2 linked regions of the Xenopus tropicalis genome follow. The protein of the gene in region 2 interacts with the protein of the main gene of each other region in a biochemical or structural test. Links are inferred from orthologs where the notes say so. Each region holds a gene or a part of one and is shown on either strand. Other genes may lie near its edges.

Region 1 (4,413 bases), on a different chromosome or scaffold from region 2:
CTCTCTGTACAGGCTATGAGCAAACTTAGGGGGCTGCTCCTGCTGAATTGTGCTGCTTTCTAAGTGGCAAGGGGAAGTACTGCACAAGGTAGAACATTTAAACTTATGTCATTGCTCCCCTTTCCCTCCTGCTGGATAGTCAGCAGAGCTTTGTGAGATTATACCAGTGATCCCCAATTAGTGGCTCAGGGGCAACAAGTTGCTCCCAGTGACCTCAAAGTAGGTGCCATTTTTACATTTCTGGCTTGGAGGCAAGTTTGGAAGCACAGAGACAGTTTTACTCAAATCAGAGCCTCCCGCAGGCATGCAGTCCACATGGGGCTACCCAATAGCCCATGACAGTCCATATTTGGCATCCCCAATAAAACCTTTTCATGATTGTGTAGCTCCCCAACATTTTTTATATCTGAGTTTGGCTCATGAGTAAAAAAGGTTGAGGATCCCTACTGATTACACATGTTTTCTTTTGTAGTTTCATGCTCATCTTTTTCTTTCACTAATCCACAGGGACCCTTTATTAATGAGGTGCTAAATTGCTCCTGTCCCTTTCTACATATTACATGTACATATTCTACAAATTTTCTTGTTTATCAATACTCTTCCCTTCTCCTTTGCACTGTTGTGTTTATTCTGCTGTAGTTTCTAAAGCTGGCCATACACGCACCGATAATATCGTACGAAACCCCGTTTCGTACGATATTCGGTGCGTGTATGGCAAGTCGGTGAGTTGACCGATATTGCAGGAGGCTGCTGATATCGGTCGACTCGCCGATCGGGCCGGTTTAAAGATTTTGATCGGACGCCATAGAATGCGCCTGAGCAAAATCAGTCTTTGGGGCTGAATCGGCAGAAGGAGGTAGAAATCCTATTGTTTCTACCTCCTTATCTGCCATTTCAGTCCTGAACGGTTAGTGGCAGGTTGTACGATCTTTCATGCGACTGATGGTCGCACGAAAGATCTAAAATCGCCACGTGTGGCCACCTTAACTCACATTATCTGTTTCCTCCCCATTTTGATTTCTTCTCTACTAGTTTTCTGTTCTCTCTTTTTTCTGCATTCTGTGCTTTTCTTCTTTTCCTCTCAGAAGTTGTTTTCCTGCTCTCCTTCCCCCTCTACATTTCTCTTTCTCCCCTTGCAGTATTCTTCTTAACATTCAAGGAAAAAAAAAAGCTGTGCACAGAATGCTATTTAAATTTTAACTGTGTTAAGCTTAGCTTAATTAATCTACTAGAATTAGTTAGCTGCTCTGTGGGAAACGGCCCCGCCCCCTCCCCTCTCAGTTCCCATGTCTGTGGGTGACGGGGGGTAAATGTTCCTCAGTTCTTCAATGGTGGGGGGTCCCCACTGGCACATGGCCCAATTGGATCCAATCGCCCTGGGACCGTCCCTGGTGTCACATGACTTCTAGGAAAAGGCGGGCTGCTTGGTATCACACACAGACCTCTCTCGGTGTGCAGTGTGTATCATAGCTTCCACGGACATTCCCTGGGACACTGTGATTGGTTTTTCATTGAAACGTCAGTGGTGGGCGGGGCTAGCTTAGTATGTAGGGACAGGACTAGAGCCTTATGACTGGTAGAGAGCTTGGAGCGGAGTTGCTTCACTAAGGTAAAATAACACAAGTGGCTTTGCGCTCGGGCAGTTAGTGAGGGGTCATTAGTTGTTGTCACATAGCTGAGCCGGGATTACCTGGTGCATCTATATGGCTGCAATAGCGTATTTTACTTTATTTATTGCCTTGCCTTACACAATAACGACATATACTTTGACTTATGAAAGGGCTGTTGGTTCTGTAGTTCTGTCTGAGTCCTTTTTTACTTCCCAGCTGTTAAAGGACAACTACACCCTCGAACTATTTGCATAGTGAAAGAAAAAGCACTTTTTAGATGGAGATACTAATGCATTTGAGTAATTTTGTCGTGCAGAGATGTGGGGCTTGCACATAAATGCAGTTATGGAGGGCATAGCCTTACAGGAGAAGCAGCTATCGGAATTGTTTTGCACTTTTATCTTGTACTAATGTAAAAATGTTTTTCCAGTCGACCTGCAGTTTAGCCAGTGATTAGGTGCCACCTAGAGGCATAAATGGGGATTGATAGCCTCGCTGCTAAACCTTATCAATTATTGGTCATTTCTTGTCACGTACACACACTTGTGCAGGTATGGGACCTCTTTTCCAAAATGCTCAGAAATACAGAAATGTCAGTTTCCATTATTTTCTGATTAATTTTGTGCTCTGTAATAACACAGAACCTTGTACTCGATGGTAACTAAGCTGCATGAATCCATATTGGTGCAGCCAGCCTTTATTATTGATTTGTTTGTAAGCATTTAGTCACCTTTAGGAATGAAGCTTCAAATTTGGGAAAGCCCAGGTCTCAAGCATTCTGAATAATAGGTACTATACCTGCAATGGTAGTGTAAGTGACACTGTTTTAATGAATGTACCTGTAGTTTGTCAAACTAACATTTAAAGTCTCAAGACCAGGGATCCCCAAACTCTTTTACTCGTTGGGCCACACTCAGAGTTGGGGAGCCACACAAATTAGTTCTTTGGGGATTCCAAATAAGACCTGTGATTGGCTATTTGGTAGCCCCTATGTGCACTGCTGGCCTGTTTTGAGTAAGGCTGATGCCACACTTGGCGTAGGGCTGATTTTTTCTGCAAACGGAAAAACGCTTGCCGAAAATCAGCCCTGCGCCTTCTACTTGTGCCTGCACCCGAATGAATGGAATACGCTCGGGTGCAGGCACATGTAGCCGATATACGCATGAAAACGTGAGACTTTGCATTCTCGCGCGTTTTCATGCGTATATCGGCTACATGTGCCTGCACCCGAGCGTATTCCATTCATTCGAGTGCAGGCACAAGTAGCAGGCGTAGGGCTGAATTTTCGGCAAGCGTTTTACCGCTTGCCGAAAAAATCAGCCCTACGCCATGTGTGGCATCAGCCTAAAGCTCTATAAAAAAAGTTTCTATGCTTCCAAAACTTGCCTCCAAGCCAGAAATGTTAAAATGGGCACCTACTTTTCTGCCACTGGGAGCAACATTAAAGGGGGTGACAAGCAACATGTTGTTCACGAGCCACTGGTTGGGGATCACTGCTCTAGACTAAATATGAATATTTCTCTACTAAAGGTTTATATGATTTGAAACTCTAGCCTTGGCAGGCAGGGGAAACAGTGTAGCAGGCACATAATGCTCAATATGCACTGTTTGAGTAAACATTGGCAGTCTATATGTGATTTTTATCTGACCAAATACATCCTGTGCCATGAATTATGTCACTGTGATGTTTGCATGTAAATCTGAGTCAGTGCTTATGGAGGAAATGCCATCACAAAGCACACAGCATGCTACTGCCTGTAGGCGTTTGTTATTATTCAGTATGTTGTAAATCAGTTGCACCATAGAGATTTTGTTTTAGAACTGGCTGCCATCTGTACCTAGTGGCAGATTGGAAATTTGCTACTAGGTGCAAGCGAGGTGCTGTTGGGCACAAACCCTGCCCTTACCATCTGCTGTACAGTGCTCCATTCTGCTGCCATCATTCTCAGCATTCAATGGCATACAAATTAGAGAATGAGTAGGGGTGGCAGAGAACACCAATACACCCTCCTCTCACCCCCTGCTGTTGAACATAGGCAGCAGGGTATTCTTGGGGCACACGCAGGTCTGTATGTTCCATTTTGGAAATGCGTGGCATCGCAAGTTGCAAAGTGATTTAAACATGGCCCCCAGTGTTTAGTAGGCCTTTTATATCAAGCTGGAACAACTATCCCTAAAGAGAGAAGAGGGCTGCAACACCATCCCTTAGCTGCCTACAATGCCTTTTATATCTTTACCCCAGTGGTTTTATAACAATTCACATTTAGTCATTTAACTAACAAAAGGAGCACCTGTCTGAATTGCTTTAACTGGATCTTACTCGCACACCTCAGTAAGGTTCAGTTTATGCCTGAAGAAGTTCAGCTGAACCACTGTGTGTGGTGTGGCTACCAGAGCCTTTACTCCGGAAGGGGTAAACAATACTATTATTTGTCAGAAAACTGTATTGTAGATGCTCTGCCCCCCCTGCACTGTGCATATAATGCATGTGCCCTAACTTACTCATTGTGTAATTGATCCTTCGTCATACATATATGTATAACGAACAAGCAGGGGCAGTTGCTCTTTATGCACATGTGTGCCCCAACATAGTTGCCAAGGGGTGGGTGATGTCCGTCTTAAGTATGGTTTTCTCTCGTATTAATATTCTATATAGATAGGGCCTGTAAGGAAGTGCTGTAACAATTATCTTTAGTACAAAGGGTTATTTAGCAGCTGTTATTTCGGCATATTAAAAGGTAAATGGTTCATTGCATTGTTGTTGTTGTCACAGGCCTCCTTACAAACAGCTATTTGCAGATAT
Region 2 (3,650 bases):
GACGTATGTCTTTTTTTTGACCTAACTTACTATGTTACATTAAATGAGAGCGTTTATGTAATTATTAGCTAAAACAAGTATAAAGTATGAGAGTCTCAGAAAGTGGAGGCAATGCTGTTGGGAGTAAATCTTTGGAAAAGTGGGGGCAATTGTTTATAATCGCTAACCTCAGGCTGGCCTCTCCTTTGTTGAATAATGCATTTAGCCCTGTGTTCAGTTCTTATAAGTGCCGCTATCTTGCCTCCTGTCTCAGCACCCTTGCAACTGCCCTGGGTGGGGGGTGAGGAGGTTATAGATTGCCAGTAGTGATGAGCACATTTTTTCAGCAGGCATAGATTCTCATGGAAATTCTGCATTTGGCCATTGACCAATTTTTTTTTGTGAAACTGGGGCAAAATTTTGCCACAAAAAAAAGTCACTGAGACAAAATTGCTGGTGCCTGGTTGCAGGTCCAAAAAGTGTTGAATATACTGGAGGAAGGGTCAGCACTCACAGGACTTTTTGTATAAGACCTGCAAGTGCTGACTCTTCCTCCAGTATATATATATGTAAGTCCTCAGAACAGCACCTCACTTCAATCACGCTACAGTGTAGCTGCCCTCGTGCGCGGAAATATAATATACATATAAAAATAAATCACAGCCAGCACCAAGAATTGTGTAGTTCAACAACTTCATGTATTATTATTGCATGTATACAATAATTGTTGTACATGCAATTTTAATACACAAAGTTGTTGAACTACAAGACCCTTGGTGCTGGCTGCGATTTATATATTTATTAGGCTTTTGTTTCACTTCTTTATCTCCTTTTCCTTTCCACTCCAGCTTCCATGATCATTCCAGACATGACTGAACTCCGGCTCCTGGAGCAGCAGGGATCTCGCTCTCGCACCGAGGAAGTCGTGTGGGCGTGGAGTAATAGAAATGCAGTGGTTGGGGAACTGCTGTCTATCCTCAGATCATTAAACCTGTTACGGGCCCTTGATGTCTTTGAATCCTGTGAGTCCTTATTTAGTATGTATGTATATTTTATTCGTATAGCACTACTTGTGTACGCCGCACTGTACATCAGTAATCATTCTATAATGCACAAAAGCCATGAATATCCTGCAAATTATGCTTACTGATGTCATTTCTCTCACATGACTTACTGAAACTTGTGTATTAGAATAAATATTATACCCAATGAGATATCAGAAGTCACCTCGAGTTCCATACCCTGTATAAAAGCACCTGGCTTTGGCCTTGTGCCTTTATATGGTCATGGAAGAGCTCAGCGACTTATAATATTTATAATTTTATAACATGTGCTTCATTATTCATTATATAAATGTGACCTCTTTAGCCATTCCATCAGTAATACAGAATCATATAGACACAGACCATAGATTATAAAAAAAAAACACACACCGTTTCCTATGAGGGTTTAGGAAGTGCTAGAAGCAGAGTTTGCCCAAGACCCGTTATCCATTGTTGGTAGCAATCGGATGCTTTCTTGTAACTTCCCAAGACAAAAGGCAAATGCTGTTTTGCTACTTTGAGTTACAGGACAACATACTTATTATGACATAAACTCTCAGTCTTTTATTTTGGGGTATGACATTACAGTCTGATAGAGCCCTAAGGGGACATTTTACCACCACAGCCAGTTGGACATAGAACCCCCATTCATTTAAGGTACCCTGCGTCAATGGGCACAGCACTTGATCCCTATATAGCTGCATGAGACAAGGGATTATTTGCATGGCTTCATATTACCAACCTTATATGACCCTAGCTACTTGGAGTAACAATTTTGTTTTTTTATAGAATTGTAGAAATACTGCTTGTTACTTCAACTGTGTAATCTAATGTACTTTTTTGTTCTTTGCTTTAGGGAGATCAAGATACGTGCCAGAGAGTACACAGAACTTCTCTCAGGCAAACCCTTTGCCTCCTCCATATCCGTATCCAGGCCCTGAAAGCGCACCCTATTTCCAGAAGCCCCAGACAAAAACTGACAGCCTACAGACACAGGCTACTAATCCCTCAGGTATCTTCTCAGTATAAAGCTGGCCATACACGTGGCGATCTCACGATGTTTCGTACGACCGTCGGTCGCACGAAACATCGTCAGATCCGCCACACACCATTCAGGGCTGAATCGGCAGGTAAGGAGGTAGAAACAATAGGATTTCTACCTCCTTCTGCCGATTCAGCTCTGAAGGGAGAATTTTGGTCAGGCGCCTTCTATGGCGCCCGATCAAAATTTTCTAACTTGGCCGATCGGCGAGCCGACCGATTTCAGCAGCTTCCTGCGATATCGGTCGGCTCGCTGACATGCCATACACGCACCGATTATCGTACGAAACGAGGTTTCGTACGATAATATCGGTGCGTGTATGGCCACCTTAACACTTTGTGGCTTTGTCAGTAACTGAGATGTGTGCTCTCTTTGTGTCCTTTCATTTTATATCCAACAACATACACTTTACGGCACTAACTCATTTTTCCTTTGCTGCCCTAGACCTACCTCAGCAATTGCCTCTTCCCGGGCCCCCTCCAAAAGCATTTATCTGCTCTTCCCACAGCGCCAGCACAGGGGGCAGCAGTGATTGCTCTGGCAGCCAAATCCATTCTTCTGTGCAGGTACAGTGTCTTATTTAAAGGGGTTGTAAAGTCAAAAACTAGAAGCCTGGTCCAAGGTTCTCCATAAAAGAACAAACCAATTTCCAACATACATTCATTAAAAGTTCTGCACTATTGAAAAAGCTAAAAAAAAAAAAACTATATTTATCAAAAAATTTTATGGAATTTTCAATTAATTTTCATTATACATTCCAGTGTGTGCTTCCCCTCAGATCAGATTGCAGATTCCTCAGCATCAAACCACTTAGTCTGTAAGCAATTACTGGGGCATGTGGGGTTTCCTGCTGCTGGGCTGTTTGTATATTATTTGAGGCACAGGGAAAGTACAGGACTTTCATGGCTGTGAGCTGATTATTGGTTCCTACAGCAGCTTATAGCAAGCTTGTATACATTGCTTAGGTCAGGGTTAGCTGTAATAGTGGTGTTCATGGAGTGTGAACAGGCCGTGCCTACGTTGCATGTCAAATGTGTAGCCACATGTGACTCATTAGATGTCATTTTGTAACTGCCCTGTTCCGTCTGCACTTTTAAATGACACAGTTAGGGAACAAGTAGAGTGCAGGAGTAGGGACATCTATATGCTTCCCCCCTTCCCCATACAGCACTGACCAATGCAGTCTGCTCTGAATCCTAGGGGAAGGTGGCAGATCTCTGTGCTTTAAATACTGCAGGGACCTGTGGCAGTACAAGTAAGGCAGAAAGCAGAGGGAATAGTGCAGAAAAATGGCCCATTTTTTTTTTTTTTTTTGCACTTCTGCATTCTGCATTTTAAATGTCCCCTAGTGACTCCCAGCTTTAAAGAATAAGTAAACTTTAAAAAAAAGTAAATGTAAAATCGCTCAAGGTTCTTTTCTAAGCACTTCTGTGATTTACATTCATTATTTTATTCAGTTTCACAGCTATTTTTAAAAAATTTTATCCGCCACCTGCTGGCCACTTCCTGTAACTGTACCGTCAGATATCTTTCAGAAGGAAAACAGAGAAGTGTTCTGATGTTGCTCTGCTCAGGAAGGAAATGGG

Evidence for each region. The genes of interacting proteins can lie anywhere in the genome.
Region 1: the proteins of irak1 (region 2) and irf7 form a complex in vitro, tested with the Homo sapiens proteins (2 studies listed by BioGRID, with this or other methods). The link is inferred for Xenopus tropicalis from reciprocal best matches to the Homo sapiens genes IRAK1 and IRF7.

The regions. Positions count from the first base shown.
Region 1 is NC_030680.2:34,535,099-34,539,511, reverse strand, and holds the start of irf7 (interferon regulatory factor 7), read left to right. Parts: upstream 1-1,539; 5' UTR 1,540-1,609; intron 1,610-4,413.
Region 2 is NC_030684.2:32,188,419-32,192,068, reverse strand, and holds part of irak1 (interleukin-1 receptor-associated kinase 1), read left to right. Parts: intron 1-827; coding exon 828-1,001; intron 1,002-1,878; coding exon 1,879-2,034; intron 2,035-2,508; coding exon 2,509-2,630; intron 2,631-3,650.